Drosophila melanogaster: one gene and its partner. The protein of the gene in region 1 interacts with the protein of each later gene in a pairwise test. Each region holds a gene or a part of one and is shown in the gene's direction. Other genes may lie near its edges.

Evidence for each region.
Region 2: the proteins of Jheh3 (region 1) and CG42807 interact in a two-hybrid assay, tested with the Drosophila melanogaster proteins (one large-scale study listed by BioGRID).

Annotation. Positions count from the first base shown.
Region 1 is NT_033778.4:18,856,564-18,872,764, reverse strand, and holds Jheh3 (juvenile hormone epoxide hydrolase 3), read left to right. Parts: upstream 1-10,686; 5' UTR 10,687-10,838; coding exon 10,839-11,239; intron 11,240-11,299; coding exon 11,300-11,504; exon of another isoform or gene 11,505-11,572; coding exon 11,573-12,373; 3' UTR 12,374-12,390; downstream 12,391-16,201. Other genes in the region: CG43109 (uncharacterized protein), read left to right, coding at 4,612-4,698, 4,758-4,844; DptB (diptericin B), read right to left, coding at 4,925-5,170, 5,227-5,343; DptA (diptericin A), read right to left, coding at 6,636-6,956; CG43071 (uncharacterized protein), read left to right, coding at 7,572-7,625, 7,710-7,841; CG43070 (uncharacterized protein), read right to left, coding at 8,232-8,281, 8,341-8,422, 8,477-8,622, 8,671-8,773; CG43069 (uncharacterized protein), read right to left, coding at 9,640-9,879; Jheh2 (juvenile hormone epoxide hydrolase 2), read left to right, coding at 14,915-15,112, 15,362-15,561, 15,674-15,881, 16,074-16,201.
Region 2 is NT_033778.4:13,562,388-13,579,366, reverse strand, and holds CG42807 (uncharacterized protein), read left to right. Parts: upstream 1-6,607; 5' UTR 6,608-6,836; coding exon 6,837-7,337; intron 7,338-7,401; coding exon 7,402-7,737; 3' UTR 7,738-8,772; downstream 8,773-16,979. Other genes in the region: CG42808 (uncharacterized protein), read left to right, coding at 5,185-5,592.

The DNA of each region.
Region 1 (16,201 bases):
AACATGCAATCTGACAAGTGTCTGGTCCAAGGAATAGTATGGAAACAATATGGAAAGCAGCTGGAAAACATTCTGGAGCGCCTATACCCTATACTTCAGTTGCTCCAAAGGATAATGCCATTGAATTATGAAGGTATTACGGGAGATTAGAGTAAGCTAGTCCTAATGCTTTCCATACTCTATGAAAGTACCACTTAATACCTTCTACTAAACGTTTTTAAGTAGACTGTGTTTCTGAAGATCTCGACAGCACTTAAAATTTCCATTGCAAAAAAAAAGTGGGATACCCTACGCATAGAGTGCCGAGAATCGTTTCCTGGTTGGGCCCAGATCTCGGCCAGGCTAATTGCCCAGCCATGAACATAAACATTGGCCGACGTCCGAGGGAGGAAGCCAAAGGAACGGGAAAGGGAGTCTTAGCCACGGTCATCGTCATCATGGGCGATTTATGATTGCATTTCCTGTGACTGCAACTGCAACTGCAACTGTGTGCTGCACAAGCCAAAAACCGAAACGCGAATTGATCGGTCACCGTTGGTTTGTCGCCCATGGTGCCACCGTGGGACTAGTTGGTGGCCAAGCGGAAATGCCACCGCGCTCGTTGCCGCTGGTGCCGTTCTCATTGATATTCCATGGAGACGGATTGCCGGCGACTACGACCCTTGTCTAATAAGGTATTAATAAGTTTTTGCCTTGGCCAAGACCAGCCAATTGCCGTTGCATTGCATTCTTGGGCTTCTTTGTTGGTTGTTAGCCGTTTGCCGATTGTTTTTTTTTTTTTCTTTTCGATCGTGCTGCTGAATTTTAAATGCATGATTACAAATCCACACTAGGCAGCAGTTACTTTACGTACTGTCAGGCATATCTGCCCATAAAGTGGGATTATTGTTCTGGGAATGATGAGATATAAATCTGTTACATGCACTTTATTATTCGTAAATATATAGTTGCTAACAACCAATTGATCATAAATTAATCAATAAACAAGCCAGCTGTATCCTTTAATTGATCTATTGTTATTTATGAGTTAATAACACTAGTGAAAGGCAGAGCTAGTACATTTTCATTCAAGTGCCACATTTTTGCTGAGCAGTGTAAATGTGAGAGAATGACACCGGCAATCTGACTGATGCAACAAGCTAAAATTAACGTATGAATGTCAGATAAGTGCTGCAGCTTTTGCTGTTGCTGATGGGTTGATGCTGCTGCTGCTGCAACAAAGGTCAGCCAGCGCGTGCTGTTGCTGCTGCCAGTTGCCAGTTGCCAGTTGATGTGACCCATTGTTGGCCAAGTTGAGCCGTCCAAGCCGAGTCGTTCTGGAAGTGAAGTTGAGGCTAAGAGTGGTGATTAATCGGACACATGACAAAGATGCGTCAGGTTGTGGGAACCGCACGGAGTCTGCGACCTTAGCCGAGAGTTGGACGGCAGCTTCTGGGACTTGCCATCGATTGGCAGTCCACTTGGACTGGCTGGACTTGCAGTGGTCACTTGTGACACACTCGAACGGGCTACGTGAGATTGGGGAAATTGGCTATGGAGAGTGGAGATAGCAGTCGTTGGGAGGGGGGGGGGGGAGATTCTAGTATTGGGCCTGCTGCAGATGCCAATCGAGAGATAACCACACACAGATACAAGCACACACTCACACTGGCCTACAATTTCAATACAATATTTGAAATAATTGGCCACAAATCGTCATTGCAGTTGCTCGTTGCTGTGTTGCTGCTGAAGTTGCCTCTGCTGCGGCAGTTGCTGCTGCTGCTGCTGCGGCTGTTGCTGCCTCTGCTGCTGCTGCTGCTGCTGCTCGTAGGCCACAAATTGCAGTCGGCTTAAACTGCTGCTGCCGCCTGACCTACGACACTATTTCTCCTCCCCCAAATAAACCGCCTCAAATTACTATTGATACTGATAGCAACTGCAACTGCAACAGCAACTGGCAACTTGCAGCAGCAGCACTAGCAACATCAGCAGCATCAGTAACTTTTGTTCTTGTTCTCTTAATGCGTTACGGTAAATATTTTTGTCTTCATTTTTACTGTTAAGATCGAGATGAAGTTGAGGCATCATTCCCTGTCCGTTCCTGCTGGTCAATGTTGCTGGTCGGTACATTGTTGCAGTTGCGGCTTGCTGCTTGCTGGACGCCAATTAGCCAAGCACTCCCCATGCAACACATGCGGGCTTTCAGGCCTAATAAAAAAAAAAGCCTGTTCAGTTTGAGGGGCTTAGGGCCATGGAGGCTTTGGAGGCTTGGCCAGGTGCCAAGAACTCAATCATTGCATTCGTTGAAACAATTGACGGTTGCTTAATGTGCAAAACGTGAGTCCAATTTGCATGACAACAGCAATTGCTGCCTGCAACCAGCAACAACCACAAGAGTCAACCTTCATTAGGTGAGATAAAAGGCATAAGTATTCTGCAGCCAAAGCTTTGTGCACCTTTTGATGTCGATTTATTTAAAATCTAAGTCGAACAATTTATTCAACTGTTGCCCATCACAAACCTGGCTGATCTTTAGAGATGGCAGCGTGTGGCTTCCAAAAAAGCACTTCTATAAATGTAAAATAAGATAAGTCAGAACCATAACTATTACTTAAGTTAATCAATAAGTTTTAGACATTACATATTGATGTAGATTTCCATGGAATAGCAACTTGGTGACACCGATTCGGAACCTCAATTCGTGTTACGCAGCCATCGCGAGTAGCTCACGCTCCTCGGCGATGTTTCATCGTCTGCTGGCGCTGCTCCATTGCATAGGTCACGTGTTCCGTCGTGTGTCTGGCCAAAATATCAGCAATTGAACTATAGACATTTTGGCCAAATGCAGTAAGCAGGCCAAAATGCCGCGATCCCGCTTTTTGACTATCGCGAGTGGAATGGATGAAGGGCAGAGCGGTGGAGCGCAGGAGCTGCAGTTGCAGGTCGGCGCATCTTGGCAAATGTCAGATGCAAATGCGAAAAGCCAAGCCAAGTCTGTGTGGCACCTGCTAACTCTTGCACTTTTCGCTTGGCCATTTCTTTGGCCAGCTAGCAGACGGTGTCAGTCATAATTAATACGCTTAGCTTGAGTAACTTAGTCGCGCTGGAAGGAAGGGAACTTCTTTGGTTCTTTGGTGTTTTACGGTGGCTTCATTAAAAAGCCATTAGTGGGAGATGAATTTCGCCGCCTATCATCCGCCGCCACCCTTGGCAACTTTCTAATTGGAAACTTTTCCTATGGAGAGCATAAATTTTAGCAATGTTTGTTCGGTTTCCGATACAATCAAAGACAAGAGCCAGAGTGCCGAGTGTTGAGTGTGTCAAACAATTTAGTTGCCTTTCGGTACCAAAAGGCAAGTTTTGCGTGGGAAATGCCGTCGATCGTCACGATCAAAAACGGCGAAGGGGAAACTTCACCGTCAACTTGAGGTACATGGAAAATGCAAAGTTGATTTTATCGTCGACTCTAACTCGGTCTTTGGCTCTGTGTTACTGTCCTGGCCTAAACTGATTTGCCACTTGACAAATGAGTTGACTGCCACATGTGCAATTTGGAAAACAATCCACCCACTTTAGATCTTCCCCGATAGCTCCCCTTACTCCCTCTCTTTTCCAGCAATTTTCCGAACGAGCCAATTTTCCCCCCATGTCAGACGAAAATGCAAAGGAAAACAGAGCGAAGCTAAACAAAAGAAATTCTACCGCTTTTGACTTTGACAATTTGCGCATTGATTTAGAAAATAGCTCTTCCATTGAATTGGAGCACTCTCCATATGAAAATGACGTGAAAACCAGAGGTGGAAAGTGCATCTGGGATGGGGTCAGTTGAGGCTCCAAATACTCTTAAAAAAAAGCTGTTGGCAACTAAGTAAAATAATTATAAAAGAGCATAAGAGTTGGCTTTCTTTAACTATTTTCTCAGTTTATAGATGGAACTTAAAGTTCTTATTATTCCAATTTAAAGTAAGCTCTTGCCCCAGTTCGTTGAGCTCTAAATAGTAAAGGGTATGCATAATGCAGGGTATGAAGAGAAAAATTGCTCCGCAATTGAAGCTATCAAAAAGGAGCTTGGCCAGTTAACCCAAGACAGCGAGTTGGACTCAAAAACGAAGCAGTGGCAAAGCGCAACCAAATTTCCGTTTCGGTAGTTTTTCTCTTTTTTTTATTTTTTATTATTTGTTTTTTTTTTTGCTGTGAGGATGGGGACTGGGTGCAGGAAAAAAGTCATCATAGCCTGACCTTCATTGTTGAGTTGCTTCTAACATTTAAATTTGTTTTGCTTTTCCATTATTTTCGGGCTCTGTTGTGCTGCTTTTGTTTTGGCTTCTTTTCGATTTCAACAGAAAACGTGCCAAATTTGGCTGCCAGTTGGACGTTCCCCCCCCCCCCCCCCCCAAAAAAAATTTAATACAGTTCAGCTGGGTTGGGCATTGGCTTTGGCTGTAGCTTTGACCTGGTCTCCGTTCCAGGGGCTATGGTCTTTTGTCTGGCCACAAGCTCTTGACACACATCCAGACATTCGGTAGTGTCGGCCTTATCGGGCTCTTATCAGCTGGTTGAAAATTGTTAGAGAAGCCAAAGGCATTTCGAATCGGGCTATGAATTCAGTCGGACGCAGCTTCTCCCGGTGAAATGTGGCTTCTCTGGTTTATTCTCCACCTAATTGGCCTCATCCAAGGGCGTTCTGTGGGCGGTGGGTCTGTAAACTTGGATGACGAGGTTAGTTTTGCCCTTTAAGTTTTGCTTTATTTGTTACATTTTTGTATTTCTCCCTATAGTTTTTCATGCCTCAGCCAGATCCCACAATATTTGCCTACAATCAAACTGATAAGGGATCATCACCCTGGGACAATACCTGGAACTGAATACTTGTAAAAAAAAAAGTGACTTGTAATTGTAATAAATTTATTTTATTTAATAAAAATTATGTAGCTTCTGAAGTGCCCTAAAACCTGAAGGTATACACTCCACCGGCTCCCCACTGAGGCCGGCTGTTGCCATAGGGTCCACCAAGGTGCTGGGCATACGATCCCGTGGCATCGAAGGAGTGGCGTCCATTGGGGCTCTGCCAAACGGGAGCACGTCCGTTGAGGCTCAGATCGAATCCTTGCTTTGGGCTTCCACCGCCACCGCCATTCAATTGGAACTGGCGACGCACTCTGTGCAGGGGCACATCAAAATTGGGAGCATACTAGAAAAATACTCTATTAAACTGTGCTCCAAGTGAAAAGTTTCATAAAAACTTACTGCCAGTGGTTCAGGCTGCAGATTCACAATCTCTCGGGGATCAGGATAGGGATAAGCCCAGGCACTCGAGAAGGCACAAGCCAGTCCAATGAATAGAAGACTAGCGGTGAAATGCATTTTGATTTGATTAGGCTTTGTCAACTGAATGCGGCTAGAGTCGAACTCAGGTCTTATATAGCTCGGATCTGTGTCTTATCAGTACTCGCAGATGAGATTCCCCAATTGGGAATCCCTGTCAAGACGACGGTGCAGTGGTTCACCAGTGGATCCCCACATTTCGTTGATAAGAGGTACGTGTAGGCTCCTCAAATAGAGGCAGATGCCAAAGTGAATCCCATCTAGAAACAATGAATGTAGAGGTACTCGCATTTCGATTGGGATCCATTCATGTGTGGCAGCTGTGAAAATAATATATGTATATTAACTACTACAAGCTAATTCTATTTCAGATTCTTAGGCTAACATTAATTCTTTCTAAATTAATTCTTTCTAATAAAAAAGAGCATTATACGAAGAGTTATATTTCTTTTATGCATTCTAGTTAAGATGCAAATCTATGTTTTATCATTTTAACACCAACTTTCTTTCTGGTAACCTGAGTTTTATGCATATATAATACATTTTCATTCAACATATATTCTATTTTTAATCATCTCCAATTTCGTGTTTTCTATTAGTAAGAATATCGGATGTTACTTTCGCCAAAATTTGATTTCCTCCCAAGCAAAATTACCTTACAGGTTCCGCAGACCCAAGCAGAATTTAGTTTCCCAAATCGATTCATCATTTTACAAGGTCAACTCAATTTGGCCATTCTTAGCTGGAATTAATGATGTGAAAAGCTTTGGTAATCCCCAAATTTGGTTGTAAAAGAGTTTAGAATACAGCCTCTGCACGAATCATTTTTCAAATACTCGAAGCGAATCTTATTCGCTTTCGTTGGGGATGGCGTAATATTTTAATCTTCGGGTTAGGCTGCGGATGTTGCGCATGATAAATTTCCATCGAAGGTTCTCTCGACAGTTTACGCAATAAATCCAATTAGCAAAAAACATTTTGTCTTGGCAGGTTTCATTAAGACCGCCTGTCATCGTAATTTGTTATTACCCAACGGAGTTGGCCAAACAAGATGTATCAACAATTAGCCAAACTGCAAGATCATCTGTGACCCACCAGCCTCTGTCTCTAGAAGTCTGCCTCAATGTTCCGGGTTAAACAAACAACGCCAAGGACATTGATGGCATTTGAGATAGTGAAATTATGGTCAGGTATGCATATCGTTGTATTCGGTTATATATTTTGCAATTATCTGAATATACAAAGTGGGTATGGTTTTTATAATAGCTAGACTCGGATACCAATCGAGATAATATTTGGTGAAGTTTTTTACAATAAAATATTTATGAAGCTTAGAAATTCGGAAATCTGTAGGTGTAGGTGCTTCCCACTTTCCAGCTCGGTTCTGAGTTGCCATATGGTCCTCCCAAGTGCTGTCCATATCCTCCATTCAGTCCAATCTCGTGGCGTCCATTGTCGCTGGTCCACACCTTCTGGTGACCCTGGACTGCAAAGCCAAAACCATCGCCGCTCTGGCCACCGCCGCCTCCCTGAAGATTGAGTGGGTACTGCGGTGGTGGAGTGGGCTTCATGGTCATGTCGTCGGGCATCGGATAAGCCAAAGTAGAAGCGATTGCGCAGCAAAGTAAGGCGACGGCAATGGTGAACTGCATCTCAGTTGTTCTCAATTGAAGAACTGGAATATGCTGACTGATACCTTTGCTGCAGTTTCGATGCTCTTTTATAGGCCGCTTTCCAAAAGGAATCCCCGATGTCACCTTATCTACTCAGAAAGTATACCTACGGCGGTTATTGTCTCATAATTAGAACCCAAGATTGATTACCGGTCATAAAAAAGGAATCCCCGATGCAAAAACAAATACCACCAGGGGATCTTTCTTAAACGAGGACTCACACCTTATTTTCATTTGACAAACAAGAGGTTAAATACTTATTAAATGATAAAATTTGTAACCTCTTATTCCACGAAGTTTTTAAATATGTATCTTAAGAACAATATCCCAACCTCCCAGCTTATTATTAACAATTAAAACATTAATGATTTCCCTTCGAAAATAAACGAAAGTTCATCCTTTTCCCAGTTCCACGGATTAATTTTAAAACCTCTCCGCGGCGACAGACAAAGAGCGATGTATGTTTGTATGCAGGCAAACAAAAAAAAAAACAAATATAAATATTTAATAAGTGATAATTGATTAAAAGCAGAGGTTGAGCAAACGTAAAAACAGTTTCCCATCAGCAGTTGAGTGCCGAGGCAGCCGAGAGAAATGTTGTTACAATCGATATTAATGAAAATATTGGCCGTTTTTTTGGTCTGCTGGGTGAGTGCGGCAAAGGAAAAATATACAATTAATCCGAAAATAAAAAAATATAAAAAAAAATATATATGCATATTTACTTTACAGCTGGGACACGTCACAGCCCAGTCATCTGCCGATTATATAGAGCTTGAAATTGGTTCAAGGGGTGAAGGTCCACCGGAAAAGACGGAATTTCCCTGGGGCAATGATGACCAGGATCTTGAAGCAACATTTTAAGTTTCTTAAGATTTTTTAAATTCTATAAATTGCATCATATACATCTCTGTTAAATATATTATAAAGAGAATCCAAGTCTTATCAGTAAAGTTACTTGTTATAACCAAAATTATACTATACTTTTGGGCCCATAGAAAAATAACTTACTCTTGTATGACTTAGTCTTAATTTAATTTAGTCAGTTATAATATATAAACCACCTATTGTTTGTCAAAACTGGCTTTATATAAAAGTAAACTCTTTCTACTCATGTATTAAATTATATCTTACTACTTTATAAATATATTCTATATCAATACCCATAATTCCCATTTTTAAATGAATGAACCTCCAAACATATTTTGTATACAGGGACCAAAATAATTACAATTTTTTACAACATTTTCTAAACTACTCAAAGTAATAACTCAGCACTACCAAAACAAGACTGACATGTGTTACTGTTGAAACACACTATTAGATGCCTCGAAAAAGATTTTTGAAAATTCTAAAAACTTACCAGCTAATGGCCAAACTGGGAGACAGACACACGGAAAAGTTAGGCTAATGAAAATTCCGTAAATAAGACATGTTCTTTTCTTCTAAAATGAAAACTAATTAATATACCGCCAGGATTTTATATTCTTAAACTTCACCTCATCTAATGCAAAGCATAGTAGAATCGAAGATACTATCTGACATAGCATTACGACAGTGATTCCCATAACAACATCTTTGTCAATAGTTCCGGCAAAAGTGTGATATTTGAACTGACGTCTCTGGTGATCAAATGGATAATTTACTGAGGGAAAAATATAAACATTAGCTGGCAAAACGTGTACTAACTGACCATAGCAATCCAGAATGTAGGCGTAGAAACCGAAACCACTCATTAAGTTCCACGAAGCCAGAGTTGCGATGACAAACCAACGTTGATTTGATCGATCTGGCATAGTGTACCTGCGTTTTTGTTCATAAAAAATGTATTTTTTTTTTTTAGTAGGTAAAATATGCTGAATAACTTTTCCAGGCCCGCCCCAATGGAAATCAATTTAGCGTCAGGTTCAATGGACTTTTACGACAAGTGCGTGTCAGCTGGATGAAAAACTAATTGCGACCATTAAGGCCACGCCCCCTCTTCGAGGGCGAGGCGGTTGCCAATGGCAGCGGCGTTGGTGCCAAACTTTGGCCGTAACTGGAGCACTCAATAAAATGTGAATTAGCCCGGCGGAGCCGGCATTAATGGTCCGCGATTCGGGTCCGCAATAGGAACCTCTCCATTTCCCCGGAAGGTGGCAGCTTTGACACGCTTCCAAGTATCAATGCGATTGTTTTTGCGGCACGCGAACAAACTTTAGTCTTATTTTTGTATGTTTTTCAACTGCAGTGCATCGAAAGGTAGTGAATTTGAGTCCTTTGACTGCGGCACGGTAATTGCGTTAATTTCGCTCGAATTACGTTTCCCATCATTGTTTCTGCCACGGCGAACCAACCACGCCCCCATTTGGCTGTCTTGCATGTTTGGCGGCACTTTTGTGGTTTTTTTTATCGAGTCTCCTTGCCCCTTGAGTCCTTCGATATAGTTGCATGTCGACAGCATTATTGGTGCCCTTACAATTTATGCGAATTATCCCCTACCTTTTATGCACCCAGAAATAGAAATGTGTAAAATTTAGACAAAATATTACCAAGTCTATGCATATATTTGCGATGGGTTTCTATTTTACAATTTTTATCTAATATTTTCAGTGTACAATGTCGCCTGCTAACCTCTCGCAGTTCACTGCCTCTATTAACTTGGCTTCATGGTCTTCGAGCACTAACATTCTTCTACAACATCGACGATGTCATTATCCTCCATGGCCAAGGAGTCAAATGTGTCCTCCTCCTGGATTTTCTCACCATCGAAGGCCAGGATCAGAGACTCAGTAGCAACTCCAAATGCCTGGGCATATTTTTGCCTAAGAAGTGCGGCCAAAGGTTGATCCGTTCTCACATGGCACCGCAGTTTAGGTAGATTTGAGGATAGAAGCCAAATGGTTTTGCTTTGATTGGCCATTCTATTTTACATTAGAATTACTAGGAGTGTATTTAGATAGTGATAGGTGCCACGTGGCCTTCTGATCGGCCGACTTCATTTCATTCATTTTTTGGAGCCACATCATCAGTGGCAGAAGGGCTGAGATTTATGATCAGTTGCCGGCGTAGCGCTTACCAATAAATAAGTTCGATAAGATAGTGGTGGCGAATAAGTAGCTGGGACTATTCTCAAGTCACCATCGCACTTGTCTCATATGGTACACACGTATGGGTCACCCTATCTCGCTCGGAAATCAATGGGCTATTCAAGGTGCAGACGCGGGCAAGTAACACAGTACCAGGCAGACTAACCGCAATGCACCTTGGGGCTAAGTCTATTATAAAATGCTGGAAATAGAAAATAATGAAAAAAAATATATATACTTCCTAAATACCCTTTGGTTAGGGAATTGGTATTCCTAAATACCCTTAGATAGGCAAGCTATCTAACTATCTAATTATATATTATAAGTACAAAAGTACAAAAAGTATAAAAGTATTATAAAGTACAAAAATTTCATTATAAAGTGCAAAGCTTTAACCACATTTAAATATATTTATACTTTATACTTAATTTCCCAAGCCCATTAACCTTTGAGCTGCGAGCAGACCATTATAACCAAGATCAAGCAAAGATCAATTTGACAGATCATATTGTGAACCACTGTGCACGATAGCCAGCGCTATCTAAACGAATTTATAAATATTATACGAACATATACTATAACGGCGACAGCGAATTTCGATAGAGCTTTGCGAGACAATTCGGGGAATGAGTATATGCGCCGGCAGTCAGTTCTTAAGCGGCTTTCTGGTTGCACGGTCGTGTTTATTCCGAATTCGGGTTAGGAATCACAAACCATTATCTCTTCTGGGAGGTGTACGAGGTGGCTAATTTAAATTCATAACGAGGGGGAGCTAATTGCGCCTGTGGCCAGAATGAAGTGCCTGATAGTGTTTGGTCTGATTGTGGCCCTGTTTGGTGCCTTCGTGGGCTATGGCTACGTGGTATTCACGGAACTGACCAAGCCCCTGCCCAAGCCGGAGTTCAAGGATGATACGTACTGGGGTCCCGGCGATGCCAAGGACTTTGTGCCCGACGAAAAGATCTACGAGTTTAAGCTGCAGGTGCCGCAATCGGAGATCGATGATCTGCGAAAGGAACTCAACCGCACGCTGAGACTAACCGAACCGCTGGACGGAATCGCCTTTGAATACGGATTCAACACCTATGCACTGGAGCAGTTTGTGGACTACTGGCGGGACAATTACCTGACCAAGTGGGATGAGCGCCAGGAGCTGTTCAACTCGTTCAAGCAGTACAAGACCGAAATTCAGGGGTGGGTACGAGTGCTTTTGTATAACATGGATGCCATGCTAAAAACGTAATACCTCCGCAGCTTGAATATTCACTATATCCACGAAAAGGTATCCGAGGAGGCTAAGGAAAAGAAACACGTATATCCTCTGCTCCTGCTCCACGGCTGGCCAGGATCGGTGCGCGAGTTCTTCGACTTTATACCCATGCTAACCAAGCACTCAAACATCACGGATTACGCTTTTGAGGTCGTGGCACCATCCCTGGTGGGCTACGGATGGTCCGATGTGAGTGTTATTTGTTTTTCAGTTGAATTTCTTCATTTTAATTATTATTATTATTATTATAACTTAAGGCTGCCACGCGTCCCGGATTTAATGCCGCTGAAATGGCCACTGTGATGCGTAACCTGATGCTGCGTCTGGGCCACAAGAAGTTCTTCATCCAAGGCGGAGATTGGGGCAGCATCATTGGCAGCAACTTGGCCACCTTGTATCCAGAGAACGTAATCGGTTACCACTCGAACATGTGCGTTCTGCACACGCCACTGGCCATTCTGAAGGGAATCTACGGCAGCTTCTTCCCGGAGAAGTACTTGCCGTCCAGATTCTTTGTGGATCATCACTTCCCCGTGTGGGAAAAATGGCTGGAGCTGCTGGAGGAAAGCGGTTACTTTCACATCCAGGCCACCAAGCCGGATACGATTGGAGCGGCTCTGACCTCCAGTCCCGTCGGCTTGGCCTCCTATATCCTCGAGAAATTCCAGACCTGCACAAATCCCGGCCTGAAGCAGGACTTTGGCGCCATAGTCACTGTCTTCGGCCTGGAGGCTGTGCTGGACAACCTGATGGTCTACTATCTGACGAACTCGGCCACGACAGCGGCTCGTTTCTACCTGGAGAACGTGTCCAAGACGTACAGGGATCTCCAGCTGGATCGTGTGCAGTCCCCGGTTCCCATGGGCTGTGCCCGCTTCCGGTTCGATCTGGCCTCGGTGACTGACTGGCAGCTGAGGGACAAGTTCCCCAACCTGACCCACTCGATGTACTTCCAGCAGGGCAGCCACTTTGCCGCCCTGGAGATGCCGGCCATGTTGTTCAATGATTTTACCGCCTTTGTGGGAAAAATTGGCCTACACGGCGAGAAGAGAAAATAAATTGTTTTAAGTATAATTACCAAACGGATTTTGTACTTTCGCTTGGGAATCGGGAGGCACATGAGATAGCTATTAAATTGGCAAGGCGACAAAAGGTCAACGTATTTTAAGTACGGTTTTGCAGTAAGGTGGTTGGGACCACCTCAGTACCACCATAACGTGGTTACATAATATTTAACAAATGTGGAAGGGAAATAGAAGGGGGTAAGACAAAATCTTTTTTAATTACATTACAATAAAACTAATAACTATAAATAGTAGGTATGGTTAAGAAGTAATTGCTTGTAATCCATGTTTGTAATTGACCGCAAACTAAAAAAATATTATTGATTCTTTATTTATATATATGTATATATGTATATTTATATATATACAGTCATGGTCAAAATTATTTTCACAAAGTGCATTTTTGTGCATGGGTCACAAACAGTTGCTTGTGCAGCAAGTGGGGGGAGGTGAAATGCAAAAAAACTTTTGCTTTTGCAAATTCAAACCTATGCAGAGTCAGATGAAAGAAGAATTGAAAAAATAACTGTTCCTATGCGCAAGGAAGAGGCAAATGAAGAGATCTTTATCAGTTGTCAGAAGTATTTGCACACGGTTTCGTCGCATCACAATTATTTTCACAACGCAATTTCTTCTTCAGTGATTGGTTTAGAGTGACAAGTGCCGGTTTGTTTGCTTAAATACATTTAAATTATTGAATAAAAATTAGATTTAATCATTTTCCTATTACAGTTATTAAATAAAATGCCCAAAACAAAAGAGTTAACAGTTGAGGCCCGGGCTGGTATTGTTGCTAGGTTTAAAGCCGGTACACCTGCGGCCAAAATAGCTGAAATATATCAAATTTCGCGTAGAACTGTCTACTACTTAATAAAAAAGCTTGATACAGTTGGCACATTAAAAAATAAAAAAAGATCAGGCCGAAAACCTGTGCTGGACCAAAGGCAATGCAGGCAAATACTTGGAGTTGTGGCGAAGAATCCTAGTGCCAGTCCGGTAAAAATTGCCTTAGAATCAAAAAATACAATTGGCAAACAAGTTAGTAGTTCTACAATTCGTCGCAGGCTAAAAGAAGCTGATTTTAAGACATACGTTGTTCGCAAAACGATTGAGATCACACCAACCAACAAAACAAAACGTCTTCGATTTGCGTTGGAATATGTTAAGAAGCCTCTTGACTTTTGGTTTAATATTTTATGGACTGATGAGTCTGCATTTCAGTACCAGGGGTCATACAGCAAGCATTTTATGCATTTGAAAAATAATCAAAAGCATTTGGCAGCCCAGCCAACCAATAGATTTGGTGGGGGCACAGTCATGTTTTGGGGATGTCTTTCCTATTATGGATTCGGAGACTTGGTACCGATAGAAGGAACTTTAAATCAGAACGGATACCTTCTTATCTTAAACAACCATGCTTTTACGTCTGGAAATAGACTTTTTCCAACTACTGAATGGATTCTTCAGCAGGACAATGCTCCATGCCATAAGGGTAGGATACCAACAAAATTTTTAAACGACCTTAATCTGGCGGTTCTTCCGTGGCCCCCCCAAAGCCCAGACCTTAATATCATTGAAAACGTTTGGGCTTTTATTAAAAACTAACGAACTATTGATAAAAATAGAAAACGAGAGGGAGCCATCATTGTAATAGCGGAGATTTGGTCCAAATTGACATTAGAATTTGCACAAACTTTGGTAAGGTCAATACCAAAAAGACTTCAAGCAGTTATTGATGCCAAAGGTGGTGTTACAAAATATTAGTATTGTATTTATATAAAATAAAAAAAATTCTTATGTTGAAATTAGATGTTAAGCTGAAATTTACTAAATTAAGTTGAGTGAAAATACTTTTGAAGCGCAATAAACATGTGAAAATACTATTGACAACTTGCATGCATATTTTCTTTTGCTTTAAGCTTTGTACTATGAACCGTTATCTTTCGTATTTCTTTTCGACTACCTTCTGCATAGATCAAGCTAAGCGATAAGAACTATTTCAGGCAAATCGGACAACAACAAGAAGAAATATAACAAAAAGAAGTTGAAGTTTGCAAATATTGTGCGTTGTGAAAATACTTTTGACCACCTCTGTATATATTAAGGGCTCCGCGTGTTGGTAATTCGAGTTCTTAATCATTATTAATTAATTAAATCAGTATTTAGTTAAATGTCATATAACAATTTCATTTTAAGCATGAATCGTTTCTTGTTCACTTTACTTTCGTGGATTGATAAATGGAACTGCTTGATCATCTTCCTAAACTAAATGTAAATTTTAAGTACAAAAATTGCTCTCACTCAATTTGTTGCCAAAAGCTCGCCGAAATTCTCAAATTATTTGTCCAATCATGCTCGCATTGCATTGCCGTGTGGAATACGATCCACTTGAAATCCACAAGCCAACAAAAAGCTTTTGTTTGCCGGTAGCTTGCGCTTTACAAATCATTTGTGCTCGACGATCGTAAGCGAGGAGTTGCGCAGTTCGCCGATCTGTGTATATAGAATATATAAAGAATATAGCATAAACACACAATGGCGAACATCTGGCCACGAATCTTGGTCGGAGCTCTGACCATCCTGGTGGCCGTTGGCTATAAGAACTATCGCGATCTCTCGGCGCCCGGCAAGAGACCCGATCTGGACAACAACGCCTACTGGGGTCCAACATTGAAGGAACCTTATCGGGAGAACAAGGCCATCCTACCCTTCGACATCAGCGTAAAGCCAGAGGTAAATAAATATACATACACAAATGCATATATACAAATGCAAAATATCAAATCAGTATGATATGCAATCAAAGCTATGAATGTATAGTATATGTAAATATTTCGAATCATGCTGGTATGCAAGTATCATTAATTATACAGAATTTATGGTAATTTGTACAAATTCATACTATTTAAAGTTATATTTGATTTAATAATTTAATTTAAGTTATATAATTTTTTTAATATCCTTCATCACTTCTTATCAAAGGTTATTGAGGATCTAATCGGTCAGCTGAGTCGTCCTTTGAAAGCGCAGGCGCCACTGGAGGGTGTGGGTTTCCAATACGGATTCAATGCCAACGAACTGGCCAAGGTGGTGAAATACTGGCGCGATACATATCTGCCCAAATGGAGCGAACGGGAGGAGTACCTCAAGAAGCTGGATCACTACCAAACGGAAATTCAGGGGTGAGTGCGACAGAACTTATGGAAAACCGAAGTGTTCCACGCTTAATTAGTCGCCTGCTTTTGCAAATTAACATGAAAAGTTAACCCCAAATGTTTTTCCATTTTTTTGCAGTTTAAAAATTCATTTTATTCATGCCAAGCCAAGCCAGGTGAAAGGCCAAAAGCCCAAGAAGGTGCTGCCTCTGCTTCTGATGCACGGATGGCCGGGAACCGTTCGCGAATTCTACGACTTCATCCCTCTCCTGACCACGCCCAGTGACAAGAGCGACTACGTCTTCGAGGTTATTGCACCCAGTCTGCCCGGCTACGGATGGTCTCAGGTTAGATTTGTTTCCAAAGGGACAACAATAAATTGCTAACCAAGTAATGCTATATTCTCCAAAAGCCGTAAGCCATAGAACTTATCTCTTACTATGGCATTAATATATAGCACTTAGGTAGACAAGTTATTACACAACCTTCTCCAAATTACAAATTGAAAAATGACTAATTTTATATTTTTCCAACTCCAGGGCTCTTCAAAAACTGGATTCGGTGTGGCGCAAGTGGCGGTGGTGATGCGCAACCTGATGCTCCGAGTGGGATTCGATAAGTTTCTGGTGCAGGGTGGCGATTGGGGTTCCATAATTGGATCCAATGT
Region 2 (16,979 bases), 5.3 Mb from region 1:
TTATTCCCTGTAAAATATTTGTTATACATACCATATATACATATATATTTATTATTTCTCAAAAGTTAAAAAAGTATTTGTTTCAGTGTAAAGATACATTCAACGAGCAGTTTTTTTAAATTTAAATTCCATGTAGCTGACAGCTGCATTTCGAGAAATACCATTAAAAAGTAATCTGAGCATCAGAAAAATGTAATTACGCCAAATTGGTTAGTCAGCTAAAAAGCTCATTAGCGAAATGGCGAAAGATGGAATCGCTCCGGAGCAGAGACATGGACATGGACATGGCGTATCCTGTACTCCCCCTCGCCCCCCTCACACTCACCGAACAAAAGTCCATGCGCCACGTCCGCCTGCCACATGAAGCTGCATAATGAAAGCGCTCAAAACTAATTAACGCGAAAGCCGAGGCGGAACAGAGGGCATCCACACAGATACCATCCCCAGCAACTGACACTACACCCAGCCACCCATCCAACCCAACCCAACCCAACCAACCCATCATCCACCCACCCCACCCCGGTTTCGCATTCTCTCTTTTGGGACAGCGAATGCTGCTCGATGGGTCTGTTCGCCTGACATTCAAGTCTACCGCTTGTCTAGGCCACCGGGTGTGGCAGGGGTGGGGATGGGGGTGGCGGTGTTGATACGGCTGGCTCAACCCCACCCCCGGCAACAACAATGCTGGTTTATTACTCATTAGCACGCACGACCGTCTGACGGCGGAAGCCAGAAGCCAGCAACAAAGGCAAACGTGCCAAACCAGAGCGACAGAAAGTTTTGCAGCAACTCTAGCTCATTTATTAAGAACAAACATGCACTGAGAACAAAACGTAGTTCAAATAAATATTTAGATCTAGGATTTTGAAGATTTTGTGTTTTGTGTTTTGCTTGTTATAACAAGCTAGTTTTCAAAATGGAAAAATATCATATAGCTAGATTTAAATTCATTGCAGTGCACAGGTGACTTCATTTTAATGAATAATCTTTGCTATATATACCTATTTTCTCACAGTGCTAACACACTCACACGCACGCACACGTTAATGAAACGTAACTTTTTCATTAAAGTTTCGCTTTCATTTATTAGAAATGCTTCTTGGCAACCCCGTCGCCTCCGCTCTCTCTATCAATCCCTGCGCCACCCCTGAAAACATCTGGGCCCTTATCTTTTGTGGCCAGGCTTTTGTGGCTCGTTAACAGTTGTTGTTGGTTAGTTAGTTAGTTGGCATTAGTTAAGTTCGCCAACCACCGATTGGATTGGAAAGTTCTCAGCAGCCACCGAACCATCCCGGCCACGTAAGGCTTCCGACGACCCCCAGAATTGAACTGAGGGACCGACTGGGCTAAGCGACCAATATTCCATTTGCTGCTGCTGCTGCTGCTTTTGCTGCCTGTCGACTGTCTGCGGTTTTCTGTGCGCCTGCTACTATGCGCCGAGTTAATTGGTTTGCAAACAAATTAACCAACGTGGGTGTGTACGTTTCCTAATTAGCAGCTTTTGTAATTAAATATGCCCGCAGCCATTCAGACCGAACGGTAGCGGGGTTGGGGTTTTTGGGGCTTTCGGGCTGGAGGGGCTTGGCCTATAACTATGCGTATGTATGTGTGTGTGTGTACGTACAATGGCATAACGGTTCATGAGGCGCACAGTGGCGCCACCAGCGGGGGCTAATTAGCACTAACAACATGACAACCCCCGTTGGATGACGCCTATGTCCAGTTTCAGGAGGGAGGCACACAACAGGATCGGTTGGTGGCCGGGGGTTAAGGGGGGTGGTGCCAGCACACTGACGTCCCAAATGAAAATGCATTTTAATTAGGGGTTTTTGTTGGGTTTTTGTTTCGAGTTGTTGTTGCCGCTGCTCGACTGCTTGCGGTTTCATTCATTAGTTGAATGGAGCCAGAGCAACTCGACAGGGTTGTCGAGCACGCCAAAAGGGATAGCTAGCTATAATTAATTAAAATTAAACCGTATTAATTGCTCATTAGCTAATTTTGTTATTTTTATTTATTTAAATTTGTGAATTATTTCTTGTTAGGTTTTCCAATATTCATACAAAAAAGGTTTAGCATTGTAAAAGCAAGACACGTTTTTATGCTTATATATATTTATTAGTTCGTATCTCTAAAATAAATCTTTACATTTGTCAGAATATTTTTCTAGTCTTGCCATCACGAGGACTTGACAACCCTGACGAGCCCAGACGATAAGCAATCCAAATGGGACATTGAAAAAGAAAAAAGCCTGGTCAGTGCGCGGAGGAGGTGGGTCCGCATATAGTGGAAGTTTTGATTGGGCCAAGAGAGATCGGGTCTAGGGGCTTTTTTCGGGCTTAAATGGATGCATAGCACCCACAAGTTTTGCGCTATTCATTAAAAACGCCGTTGTTGTAGTTGCTTTCGTTGTTGTTCAATTGAATTGGGGCCGGGAAAGCAGCCAGCAGGAGGAGAAAAAAAGGGTCCAATTAAAAAGCCACAACAATTAACGAGCCAAGTGAGTTAACTTGGCATAAGTGGAATTTTAATTGGCAACACGAGAGCGAGATGGAGATGCGGATTGGGATTGGGATTGGGATGTAGATGGCCAACGAGGCAGGAGCCGAGTGACTTGCCGAGTGCCGATAAGTGCCAAGGGAGTGGTACTGGAATCGGTGGTGGGGGCTAGTGGGGTACTATGGAATAGCGGGGGGAGGGGTGTATGGGGGATGGGGGAGCTCGTTATGGGTCTACACAGCCGACTGTCCCGGAGTAGTTAAGTAAATGAGCATTTTGTTCCACTAATGAACACTAATGAATATGCCAGAGACAGCACTTGGATTAAGCCCGGTTGGCACTGTGTATGCGTGTATATGTGTGTGTGTGTGTGTGTGTGTTTGGGGCCTTTTGTTGGTTCGGGGTTTTTGTGTTGTTAATTAATAAACACGAAGCCTGGGGACCATTGTGTGCATGTACATGTGTGTGTGTGTGTAACTAAGTGTTTGTCTGGTTGTGCGCTCAGTTTTCAAGGGGTTAAAATAAGCAATTAGTTGGATTTTCGAATAGGCGCTCAGCAAATGCGCAGACGACGACGAGGCCAGAAACATTGGAGGCCATTCTGCTCTTCCATCCCAGCCGAAATGAGAAAGTTTCAAACTGTTGCCGGCACTGCCGTCGCTGCTGCTGCTGGTGCTGCTACCTCTGCCGTCGCTGCTGCCGCTGCTGCTGCTGCTGCTGCTTCTAACGAGGCAGCGGCGCAGGAGTTGGCCGCAGGAGGTGGTGGCAGATAGCGGAGGGACACTAATTGTACGTGGAGGAGGAGGTGGACGTCGAGTCGCCGGCGAGGGAGTCCATGCCGCAGGTAAGCCAGCCACGCATCCAGCGGAAGAGATGGAGGAGGGAATGGAGGAGTATTGGAGGTGCAGAAGGTACACGGATAACAAAACTACAGCACCAAGATCCAAAAAGGTTTAGGATCGATTGATCCTGGTCGATGGTCTTCAATCTGTACATTAATAATAAACATATATTACAATTACAATTAAAATAAGCTATTGTTATTCTTTATTTGTGTTATGTAATCATGCAGTATGGGTTATTAGGTGGTAATTACAGTATAAAATTCTTTAAATATTTGTATAAAGTTAAATATTACTAAGAATGTTGGTAGTAGTAATATCGAAAGATTCTAATATTAAAACTATTAATATTTATTTAGAACATTAGATGAATATACAAATATTTACCAATTTAACGACTAATTACGCATACCTGTAAAGAAATTGACAAAAATTTTCTTTCGACATTTTGCATGTAACTATTTTGCAGTGCACTTTTCTATGTCGGAACAACCTTTCGTTGTTTGCCTGTGCGAAGCTTAATTGGCAAAACTGATGATGAGACTAGCAACTAGCCTGGACACGAACCCATGGCGAAAATGAATAATGGCCCGAACACTCATAACTTTGTTTTAATTAAGTTAGTTCGGATGCGAAAACGTCTAGACAGAATGCATACCGAAACTGGGAATACAAAATATTCAAAAGGTGCTATAATATATAAATAAGTAAAGCTAAATAAATATTTCTTATCTGATTATTTGCTGTACTTGGAAAGTAAATAAATTACCTTTAAAGGTTTGTAAAAATAATAAAATGCAAATTAATACATTTGCCCCATAAACGGGCAACAATATCTCAATTATTTTGCCGTACTTATAAGTGGGATTTATCTACACAAATAGATGGGCAAGACTCCAAAAATAAATATTCATACTACTAGAATGCGGCATAGATACGATACACATTCTAATTGCGATCCGCCCCCAGAAAAAGTCATATTCGCTGCCGGGTCGAATGAATGAATCACTTTAATCTGCTGGCAATCAAGATATACCTCTGTATTTTACATAAGACACCTATGACAGCTAGGCCACCATAACTCTGCTCCGAGGCTTCGGGCTCCGATCTGCCATTGAGCCGCCCCAGACGCGATGACTTTATATGGCCAAGCGCCGAGCGACGCGCCGTCGAAAGTGCGAACCTGCGGAGGAGGTGCACTGAGAGAAAATAAATATTGCAAGACGAAAATTACATTCTAACATATGTTGCAATAAATAATAAGCGACTAAACAGTTTTGAGATACAAAATAAGCTAGTAAGCATTTTATAATGTTATTTTTTTAGTTTTCGAAATATGTACAATAAATTGTTCTGCTGTCGGAGTTCCTAACTTTTCCTGAAAGGTCCGAGACAACAATATATGTACATATGAACGTAACTGAAAGTATTTAAAAAGTGCTTCTAAAAGAAAAGACTTCTTAGTCATGCAAAGACATTTACAAATTGTTTCTAGTAGAAATGTAGAAGTTTTTATCCTCTTTTTTTAACCTTTTCACCCGTTTGACATCGAACATTTTCTGCCAGTGTCTGAGTGTCTGAACCCGTTTGAAGCTGTCGGAAGAAATCGCGTTAAGATCCGCGCCCCTGACGTCAGCGATTCAAAATACGAGCAAAACAAATGGAAATCGCGGGGGTCGACTCTCTGCGGCAAATAACAATCATTTACATGACGAGTTTTGCGCTCAAACAAGGTGAAATCATATTTTAGAATAAGACCTGCTCGAATGCGACTCAATCGTGTTTGCAATCTCGTTGTGAATAGATCGAACTGTTGGAAAAGTAAAAACAAAAACAGAGTTCAAAAATGCCGCTGCGCAAGAAAGAGGACTACATACCCATTAAGTGCGAGGGCTGGAACGGCAAGTTCGTGTATCCGGATGGAGCTGTCAATAATGTGTCCAAGATACGTCGCCAGAACCAGAACGTAACCAATACCAACAACTTCTACGGATTCAACACGGAACCCATTGTCCTGCCCACCGAATGGGATGGCACCTTCGTGAAGAGTGGCGAGACCCGCATCAAACAGGAGCGCAATCGATCCGATGACCAGGACTACTTTGATTACAACACCGAGCCCACGGTACTGCCCACCACTTGGAGTGGCGAGTTCGTCAACGATCCCAACGATGTGCGCATTAAGCCGGAACGCAACTTCTCGGATGCCAGGGATTATGCAGAGGCATCCCGATTCAAACTGGTCCAGCACTGAGTGAGATCCCGATCCGCCCGTTTCAATCAAACTAATCCTGCAAATGTTGCGTTTGTTTCGGTTTCGCATTGTAATTGTCGCCTAACCTAAGCGTTTGTTGTATTTTATTTTTTATGATATTTATTCGTATACTTAATAAACCAAAAAAAAAAAACACTGAAATACTAGAAAGTTCCGTTCCGCAATCGCCTTGGTGGATTTGCAGTGGGCGGTGGCAATAATTAGTGGCCTTTTATGGACAATAATTCGATCAGGTTTGCAAAATCATTTAAATAGCAAGGTATATCGACATATTGTTAATCAGATATCCATTACAGCAAGTGAAAGTGCGAGAAAGAATTTTCAAACTTTTTATTGAGATTCGATTAAAATTTGCAAGCAAAATAATAAAACAAATAAGAAAAAGCGTTTTTAAAAATTGTTATTATAGTATTTGTTGAGATCAACAACAAATGGGGATTGCCTTTTATGAGGTGTATGGAAAACAGCATTTAGATTACAAATTACATATATGCATCATTCGCTGATAATACTCACATTCATTATGTCGCGATTAAGCCGTGTGACTTCCCACTGATTTGTCCATTGAAAATACAAACACTTTTAAATTATAAAATTTTGGAAAGCAAATTGAACATTCATTCAGGAACTCATTTTCGAAACTGCTCTACACTTTGAACAACCTTTTCGAGTTGAAAAAAACGCTGGTATTTCAAAGTTATCGCACAACTTATTAGGTTGTTAAAAAATACAATTTACGAAACAATTACAAATGTTCGCATAGTATTCACTTCCTGACCAGACCCAACAGAAGGAATGTTCTTGCCATTTTGTAATATGATATTTTGAACCATTCATACAAACTGTTTTTGTGTGAGTCCCCAATCAATAAAAACTTCCTTATTGACACACGTTGACGTTCCCATTAAATAACCTTGTTTAGAGCTTTAAGTTGGCACACGTAATTAATTTTTAACTTTTCGCCTATAAAAGGCCCCGATAAGAGAGGATAACCACACAAATTCTTAGGAACAACGGCCAAACCTTATGTAAACAATTCTTGAGTTGAAAAGTAAATGAAAGCCAATTAAATATAGAGGCGGATTTCGGAGCTTGCAAATAAAATTCATTATGGGGGAGCCGCAGCTGATACGACGACTTTTGCAGGGGAAGTACGTAGAGTGATAAGAAAGTAGAGAGTATATATAAACAGAGGCTTCCCAATCGTTCGGCACACAGTCAAGATGCAGAGCTTTCTGGGAGTAGCAATCATTCTGGCTCTTCTGAGCCTGGTGGCTAGCCAGGCGCAGAACAGCTCCCAGTCCATGGATCTCTATATACTCCAGAATCAGCGGCAATATGACGCGAAGATCAAACAGCTGGCAGATGAATTAGCCAATTTTAAGCAGCTATTTCAGAAGCAAATCAATGCGCTCGATGTGCAAGCAGATTCGATGCAGCTAAAATTGGAACAAGCCTCCGCTCACCTGGATCCCATTATCCTGATCGATTCCTGGAGCAAACAATGCGTACAGAACTATAGTGTTACTATACCAACGATCACCGTGGCCAGGGACTCCATTATCAAGTGTAAGGAAAGTATTAGTGGCATTTTAAATGCACCTGAGAGCACCTACAACACCCTGAATAACTACTATAAAAATAACGTGAAGAATGGTTTGGCACAATGCCTAAAACTTCATCCAACTGCCCAGTTAAATTACACACTCTGTGTAACCAAGGTGGTAAGTATTACAACTTTCTATATTATTAAGAGCAGAATCCTGAGACTTCTTTTTACACTTGCAGATTGGTGATGCCAATAAGTATACCATCACCACACAGAATACTTTCAATACCAACCTGAAGAGTTCGGAATGCACGGCTGATAATCGCATTAGGAACTCCTGGCAGTGCTCCTTTGGCCAGGTGTACTCTATTACCTCCAAAGTGGAACTGGCGCTGCAACTCATCGACTCCTGCATTTCCAATAAGGTGATCTGTGGATCCTTTGAAGAGCAATCGTGTCCGAATAAGTCATATGTTTCTCTGTCGGAGATCAATCCTCGCAACGATACCATCCGGAATCCCTTCAAGTTTGTAACCAATGCTATGAGCTGTGTAGAGGTCCTGATCAGCAGTTAAAGTATCCTTACATAAATCAAATTCATTCGAGTCAATGAAAATATTACAGCATTTATTAATTTGTATAGCTTTTGATGTTTAAATAAATATAAATACTATTACCAGCATTATAAATATGTACTTTGCTCTATAAAGTTTTGATAAGAAAACTTGAAGTGCTGTTTCCAGAAGCGAATTAATAAAAATATATAAACTAAGTAGATTATTAAGCAAAACCAAGATAAATAAGTACATATAGTTAAAAAGATTTTATAGCCTCTTTAATTAGCACCAAAAACTGCCAGCTGGGTAAACATTGTATTGTTTATGAAGATTATAAAGCGAATTCGTAGCACCACCTGCTCCATCCAAATTATAAAGCCTCGTGGTTTATTACTTGGTTTATCAATTTTGAAAAAAAAAGAAGTAAAAAAGGAAAGATGCCAGTTCCAACCAATTCACCAGGAGCACAGAATCATTTCAGTGGACTCTTGAGTACCAACGCAAAATAAGATGACAAACTGGATTTGGACCTTTTTCAGGTACCCGCACGAACCATTTCTGGAATTTGAGCCACTCAAAGGGACCGCTGCAACATTCCAAGCCTTAGAAATAATTCCTCGAATTTGGAGTCACATAAAACCAGAGATCGCTTTGTGTGTGGGTTTTCATTCTAACGTTTCCACATTCCCCGTCCCGATTCCACAATCTGGATGGCAGATGCGTGAGAACAATGATCGGCACAGGCTAAAGAAAATCGTGGTTGGTGTAGTCCCAAAATCATGAAAAGATCTCTTGACACGGGCTGACCGTGTGAAATATTAGAGATGCTTGGGAAACCTCGGAAAATATCTAACAGGCTGACAGTAAAATTAGCACGCCACTACGGGAAATCGAATGAAAATGTGATAGAGCAGGTAGCTAGCACATGTGGAAGCACTGGGAAAATTCGTGAGAATTTTCTGTCTTTGATCCTTTCATTGTTGGCCCTTTGGGACGTTATGGGAAAATGAATTTTCAGCGTGTGAAAATGTTCAAAATTGCTTATAATTTGTTAAGTTTTCGATCAGGAAATCAGAAACGAAAACAGCAGTTGCTGGAAAATCTGGAAATCTTCAAAGAACTGCAGGCAGGACTTGTTGCATAAGAAGAAAATCAAACTATTCTGATCCTTGATCTTTTAAAGATCGTGAGAATTCTTAAAATTTGAAGACACCCCTGAAGAATCATGTAATAGGCCCACAGCAATTTCGGTAGCATTTTAAGAAGAAAAGCCGAAGAATTCTACCTGCACGCGGCATGGGAAAGTGCAGCTGAAATCTTTTCGAAAAAGAAGACCTCCCACATAAAAAGAATCATAAAAAAGCGGGATGCCCTAAGAATTTGAAGATGCAGCTGGTGAAGCTGTGGGAAAATGCAATCTATACATCTGTCCCGATCGTGTGAATTTTCCAAAATTGTTGTGTAAATGGAAAACTCTTCTACCAGGGCATCAGCGAAAATGGTAGCATTACCACAGAGTTTTCCCAAAAGAATCTCTACCTGTTGCTCGAGTCTGGAAAATGCAGCTGAAAATGCAGCACGGTACAAAGGAGCACCCTTTTTCCAAGAAACCTGTTGATTTCACATGGAAACCTTACGTCCTTTGTTTAAAAAACGGTCTTTCTACAAATTAAGATCTATTCAGTTGCAACCACTGCAGCTGTGGGAAAATGTTCATCTGCTTTTGGTCCACCAACCGTGTGAATTTTCCGGTCCAGATGTTTACAATGTAAACATTGCCACCAGGCAAACAGGAAAAACAGCAGAACGTGCCACTGAGTTTTTCCGAAGAGAGATCGACCTTATACCTGCTGAAGGGTCCTGGGAACCAGCAGATGTTACGAATCACACGATGATACGACTTTTCCTGCAACCTGTTGCATGGGAATAAAAATAAATGCATTTTAAATACATTTGTAATGCAGCCTGGACAGATGTGGGAAAATGCATCTGCCGGTCGTGTGAAAATTGCAGCTTAATCAAGAAAAATCAATATTCATGCACCAGGCAAACATAAAAAACAGCAGCACACTCCAGAGAGTTTTTCCGAAGGAATGTTACCTGAAGTGGAGTCCTGGGAAAGTGAAGATGGATTAAGCCACACGAAAATGCATTTGACCTGTTGCTTTGGAAAATAATCAAACATTTTACGTAGTTTAAAAGGTTGTTGGGAAAATTTGTTTACTTAACCGTGTGAAAATTCAAGATATTCGGAAAAAATTAATTAAATAATACCAGGCGAACATACAAATTTGTAGGATGCTTGCTATTTATAGTTTTCCGAAAAGGAGTCTACCTAAGAACGAGTCCTGGGAAAATGTAAGTGGCACGGAGCACACGATGTTACATTCCTGCTGCCTTTTGTTTGGAAAACCGTGGAAAATCTGTCGATGGTGATCAATTCTCATGTTTCGTGTGACCTTACATGGCTCAGGCCAAACAAATAGTTTTTTAAAGGAATGTTACCTGAGTCCTGGAAAAATTGTGATATTTAATTTTCATCCTAAAACCTGTTGCATGGGAAAATAAAAGACGATCGTTTATTTTTTTCCTATGCAGATTGTAAACCTACTATAGTCTGATCGTGTGAAAAATTGTATAAATTTAAAAAAATCAATATTCATTCACCAGGCAAACATAAAAACCTACAGGACTCTCAACACAATTTAGAACGCGTCTTGCATACAAGATATTGGAAAATGTGCATAGTTAAAGCAAATAGTTATAGCATACTTTTCAACTGTATCAATTTAAAAATTTAATCAGCAAAATTGAAATTTGAAAGACCAAGCGAACATAAATATATGCAACACAATGGAAATTGACTTCCGAGGAAAACTCTGACTTCCATTCCTTGGAAAATTTTGATTTCGAGCGTGTATGAAATTAAAGAATATTTAACCCCTTAACGAAAATCCTACCAGGATAACAGAATTAGCAAAAGGTGCAAGCAAAATAATGTTTAAAACAAACCAAGGCGAGCTATAAATATTTCATGGGAAAATCGTATATCTTCCATTATGGGAACAAACTTTAAGTGGTGGTGGTGGCTAACAATTTTCCAGCAGGATAACAGAAATGACAGCACGCACCCTAAACCGCAATTTAAAATCAGTCCCAACTAATTTCTAAGAACAGGCCAAGGAATTACCACTTGTAGGATTGAGAAAAGATCGCTTCCTTAGGAAACATTGATCATCAACCGGAAGTGATATGGCTCACACTTCAAATTACATTTCCGTTTTTTAGTTAATTGAAACTAAGATCCGTAAAATTCAACAAGATTTAAGAAGAGCAACAGGCAATGATCTGTAAAAAAGGATCCTGGGAAAAAATCTTTAGAAATTAGTTGTTTAATATGTAAAATATGTTGTGGGAAAATTGCTCCCAAAATATGTTGTGGGAAAATTGCTCAAGTGACTGTAAGATTAGGGATTTTCTAACAGGACTACAGGACAGTTGATAAGTGTCCATAAAGGTTTCCCAGGCTGAAAACGTATTCTATGCCAAGCGGAAAAACATATGCCATTTGGAGGGATCACCTGCAGGACTACGGCAGCGGAATCATAATCTTAGGGTACGCCTATTTTCAACCGGAAATTATCTTTGTTTACACTAAAGGTCATTTCCACAATGGGAATAATTGATTGCATCAACACAAGAAAACTTGTTAAAAAAAAAGGAACCGGAACATCTTTAAATAGCACACTCTACCAAGACTGAATTTTCCTGGGAAAATTAAAGAACGTGGGAAACGTATCCCGGTGGTGGTTATATCTGTGGATTCTCTAACAGGAATGCAGGAAACTGGCACGTGTTTTAAAATGATTATACTCATGACCTAAATCTGGTGAAATATTTGCCGGATGGCATGTTAAAGAACACATGCAGGATAACGGAAGTAGGAAATGGCTTTTGTAACCACTTGAAACCCAATTTTTCAAACAGGAAATCGATTTCTGATCTTACGGATTCCATTTCCTGTACCAGCTTCCGTTTCTTTTGCAAAATAAACATTGATTATTTGACATACAATATGTGGGTTCTTTTTTATGACACGTTTTTTTTCACATCTTTTTATGCGGCCTTTTTCTTGGAACTCCACATGCCACATGCTAAGATTTTTTGGGATAGGCGTGAGAACGAAATCGGCTTAATTAGTCGGTTTCTACTAGGCAAACAGCATCCGTAAGGCAATGAACAGATTTCGACATTCACGATGATGGTCACATGATACGCGAAACCTTAGGATATCTTTGATCTTTTTATGGATTCCTTTGGGTTCGTTTGGCCCGCATGTTCTCCGATTCCACGAAGGCGTGAGAATGCGGGCTATTTATGGAATACTAATTAGTTTTCTGAATCATCAGGCAAGCAGCGAGCAGCAGTTGGTTAGGATTCCTTCAGGGAGTCCTTGTTCTTCCAACGAACTTTATATGCAAATTGGATTAAAGCATCATCGCTTCAATTAAATCGGATACCAGGCAAACAGTTTCGCCAGAAAGCGGATCTCACCTTTCCAGGATTAGCTACCGCCGTCTTACCTTTGGGTAGTGCAAAACTACCACCAAACTATTGAGCTACGGAGAAGTTATTCCTTCTCTTTCTCCTTTCCTAAGACGTTTGCAACCCTCGTAATTTGGACTGCCTTGAAAAATACGTCTTGTCCTTACCAGGAAGACAGAAAAAGCAGGAGGAGCGAAGATTACGCAACAACACCTTATAAATGAGGGTTGAACTGCTTTCATTCATAAGAAAATAAGAAGTCGTGCCAAGTCTTGGCTTCCATTAGGGGAACAGCAGATTCATACGTTTCCCAAAGAGCATCTTCAACTGGATTGAATCCAAAAGAGGGTTGAAACTGTCACCTTCTATAAGCGGCTTTCAGCAAACCAAAGACAACCAATTTTAAGAGCATATTCAACAAATACCTCGAAGATCTTTCAGCTAATGTGGGCATAATCCTTTCGCTGCAGGTAAAATTCCTTGCCTCGAGCGTGAGAATTTCAATCAATATTTGTTGGTCTAGCAACAGGCGACCAGCAAAAAGTGCCAGCATCCCTGCCTTTCCCATATCTTCATTTTCTCTTTTTTACGCACAGAGCGTGTGAACGAAGACCCACAAAAAACGAGAAAGAACGTTGCACTGGAATGAGATACCGACTATCAGTTACCGAGTTCTAATCGTGAATTACAAAATATTAATCGTACGCCTTAAGGAAGAAATTGTACGAGTATAATTGTAGAATATCTTATTCTTAAAACAAAAATTGTATTAAAATATAGATTGAAAAATAGCAGAACTTACAGGATCCTACACCTGCTCACCACCCATATACCCCTGCATTTTAATAATACTGGGTACTCCACGAAAGCGAAACCCCGAAAACCAACAAAAACGAGAGTCGAGGATCGCGTGGGAATAAATGCCGCAACGACAGGCAGAGAGAGAAGGAAAGCAAAGGAAAGGAATGTAACGTATTTTTTCCCACAGCTCCTGCAGATAGGCATCTCCCTGTGGGACTGCGACTCTCCGCACCACTCTCCATAAAATTATATGCAGAGGCCTAAATTAGTTGTTAATTGTTTCCCTGTCCCTTTTTTTCGCTTTGGCATGTGCTCGCGTGAGAACTCCGAATCGAGGTATTGGAAAAAGGATCAGGAGCGCAGAAGAATATGATGGTTGCGTCCACTTTCCAGCGGTGTTGCCGCTCTACTCCACTCCACATTGGTCGCAGTTGCTCTTAACGAGATCCTCGATCGTTACGTTAAGCGGATGTGGACTCTGTGGAACGGCTGTGTGTGTGTGTGAGTGTGAGTGAGTGTTTGCGGAGGGCTTTAAGGTCTGTTTGGTTGGCTGGTCGCGGTTCGCTGTGTCAACATCGTGTGGGAAATTCTTGGCCATTATCCGTTACAAAAACGAATGTTCTCTGCCGAGATCGAGTGATCGTGAGAACTGTTTATGCTCAAGCGAAGATCTCGAGCAGGAAAACAGAAAGTCAGCAGAGGTTTAGATGAAACCGACTTAAGGCACAAGTTAGGCAAATTAATACAAAACTTTCGCTGGGAACTACAAAGGTTGTAACCAAAGTTACAACATTTTGTGCTGCGCAAGTAACTAAAATATATTATATTATACACCAGTTTTACGGAAAGAAACTTTAAAAGTTATACTTTTATAATTTATATAATTGTGTTAAAAGTTATACTATTATAATTTATATAATTGTGTTATTGACATATTCTTTTATATATGGTGCGGGTTGTGGGCTGCGAGTACGACCATGTCAAGTATATATATATATTCTTGATCAGGGTCACTAGCCAAGTCGGTCTGGCCATGTCCATCACTGCGGTTTATAACAGCTAGAAGGACTTAGAAGGCTTAAGCATTCTCTCTTGTTAACAATTAATTTGTGCATAATTCAAATATTTGTATTATTCAAGTTAAATCAAAATCCGGTTGTGGACTTTTTTCTCAAAAAGTGTGTGTTGTGCTATTCTCTTCTTTCAAATCTCAGACTAAACTATAAACGCCCAAGTATATCAGTATATTTCATAAGTCTTGAAAAAAATGCATTCCAATTCGACCGCATCATTAAGTAATTCAATTACGCACAAGCCAGCAATCATTTTCCCCTCCCAGCTCGAAATCAAATTCAACTTCAACCAACCACCGGCAATAAGCGAACTGAAAGAAACACGAGTTCCAAAAACATCTTCTCGTCGTTCTACAAACTCTGTTTTCCTGTTCGGTCCCAAGACATTTACAAGCATCAAATTTCAGACAAAAGGAGCTCGAAGACCTTAAGAAAGTGTGGCACGTGCCACAGAGTTTCAACCCCGCAGTGTGAGTAGTACCTTCCACATACATATGTACAACTCTCCAATCATCAACCAGTTGCTTGCTAGGCTACCCTGCGTTCCTGTCCCTTTGACAGCCAATTAGCGATCATCAGCCAAGATTATCAACTGGAAAATTATAGGGTCTCAAAAATGGCCCGCGGCAAAGGAAACGCCCCTCGGCCGCACTCTACTCTTCATATGGATCGACATGAAACGCGATCGTGGTGTGTGGTAAGTACAAGTACAAACATACATGTGTTTAAGCGACTTAATGAACCCTGATGTTTGTCACGATAATTTCATGTTTTTCACTAGGCTCACAGCGACGAAAGGAGGGAGTCTACGCAGTGCTGCCAGCCGCCTACCAAAGACCCGCATAATGGTCTTCGACACGCATCGAATTACAATAGCCCATGATTGGGCCCAAGAATCATTCAAGTGCGAAGAGCAGATTTGCTTGCTTTCCCCTCCTGACAGCCTGTTCCAATTTCACGCCGCATTAAAATAAACAGGAAGTTGTCTCGATTATGGCAATTTGCGTGTGTAGGAATACAAAGTGTTTCTTTAAGAATAGGAAGTCAATTCTTGGGTTTCTTTAACTGCCTACGTACCAATTCTGCTGACCTGATCAAAATCAATTAGCAAAACAAACAAAAAACCCATCCATCAAATCCAGCCTTTTGTTGTGCTGACTTCCAGGAACTCCGACATTTGCCTCGGGCCATCCAACGCCTGCGGCTTAAAGTGCAATCAAGCCGAACCTCACGATCAGGGCAACAGCATCCCAGCCAGCTGAGATTTTGGGCCAGGAATATGTGTGTATAGAGGGATTTCTCCGCGCATTTACCTGGCCTACCTGGCGGAGTGAAGGTACAGTTGTAGGAGCCCATCTTCGCCGTTCTGTTCGCCCATTCGAATGATACAGATTTAAGCCTTTGGCTGTTTTGTCTGCAGGGGATTTGCGGTGATCATGGGCCTCGAGCGCTCAACCGCAAACAGATCGTGGGAAAAGGTCAGGCACAAGCGAAAGCATCTTGGGAACCACGTGCCACGATCCATTGTTTGTCTAATCCCAGAGATCATAAGTCATAATTAGAAAACTGCCGAAGCATGCATAAAGTGTAGCAAACGAACAGGTGAACAGAATCAGCAGCTAGGCAATCGAAATGAATCACAGGTACAGGTAGCTAGGTAGACAGCCAGGTACCCTCATCAGTTTATGAGCAAACTCATCAGCAGCATCCCATTATTATGTTGCCATCCATGATTGCCACTGATGCGCATCGATGCATAATTTTCGAACAGGTTCACAGCAAATTGCAGGAGGCCAGCCAGGAGATGAAGAAAGTGCCCAAAGGCAGGGAGCATCGCTCGATGATGGGAAAAATCAGTGGAGCGCAATCGTCTGTATCCAGGGAACAGGTTAGCAAGAGTTTTAGGCCAACGATCGCAGCAGGAGATCTACACCCGCCGAAGATGAGAATTTCCAAGTGCGATCTCATTTTGGTGGGATTCTCCCACGGATGTGTTTGTCTCTGGATGAAAATCAAGGAACCGTAACCATTGCTGAACAGACGAATAGGCTATCATGAAATGTAGACTCTGAATGTGCAGCATCTTTTCGAAAGAAACCTTTAGATGACCTTTTCGGGGCTCAACTTTGACCTGCCGTCTGCTTGCGACATTTGTTGTTTGCCTGTTCGAATGCTACGATTTAAATATTTATATCTTCATCTTGTGCACTGATGGCAGTTTGATTAACTTGATCACATGTAAATTGTTTTATGAGAAAGGTGGTTTATGATGAATTTTACAGAATGGTACAGAATGTATTTGGATTGCTAGATTCTAGCCTTACCCCAGGACTCTGAGAACCTGTTCAAATGCTACACTTTTGTGACCTTTGACTTAATTTCTAAACAAGCAAAGGTCAGGCCGAGTGGTGTGCAGCATCAGTTGTGGAAATATTTTTCCTTTCCCTTAATGAAGATGATCGTGAAAACCAGCGAAGCGGAGAAATTTTTCCAAAATATAGCAGGTGAACATAATTCTTAAATAGTCGCTGGAAAATTATTCTTCTAGCAATCTTTAACTTTTCAAAGATGTGTTTATATATTTGAAAATTTTCATGAAAATGTGAAAAACCAATGAATCGTGACCAAGCCAGAAAATTCGAACAGGCCTACATAAATACCACGCAGAAATCTCAACGAAAAACTACCTGAATAAGAACCAGATTTGTATTGAAACACATAAGGACCCACAGAATATACCTGTAGATAATTCCCTTTTACCTTGGTAGTTAGATATTAGTTTTTCCACATTCGTGTCCTTTTTTCTTGTTCTCCTGTTACATTGCTACAGTTTCGAGCATC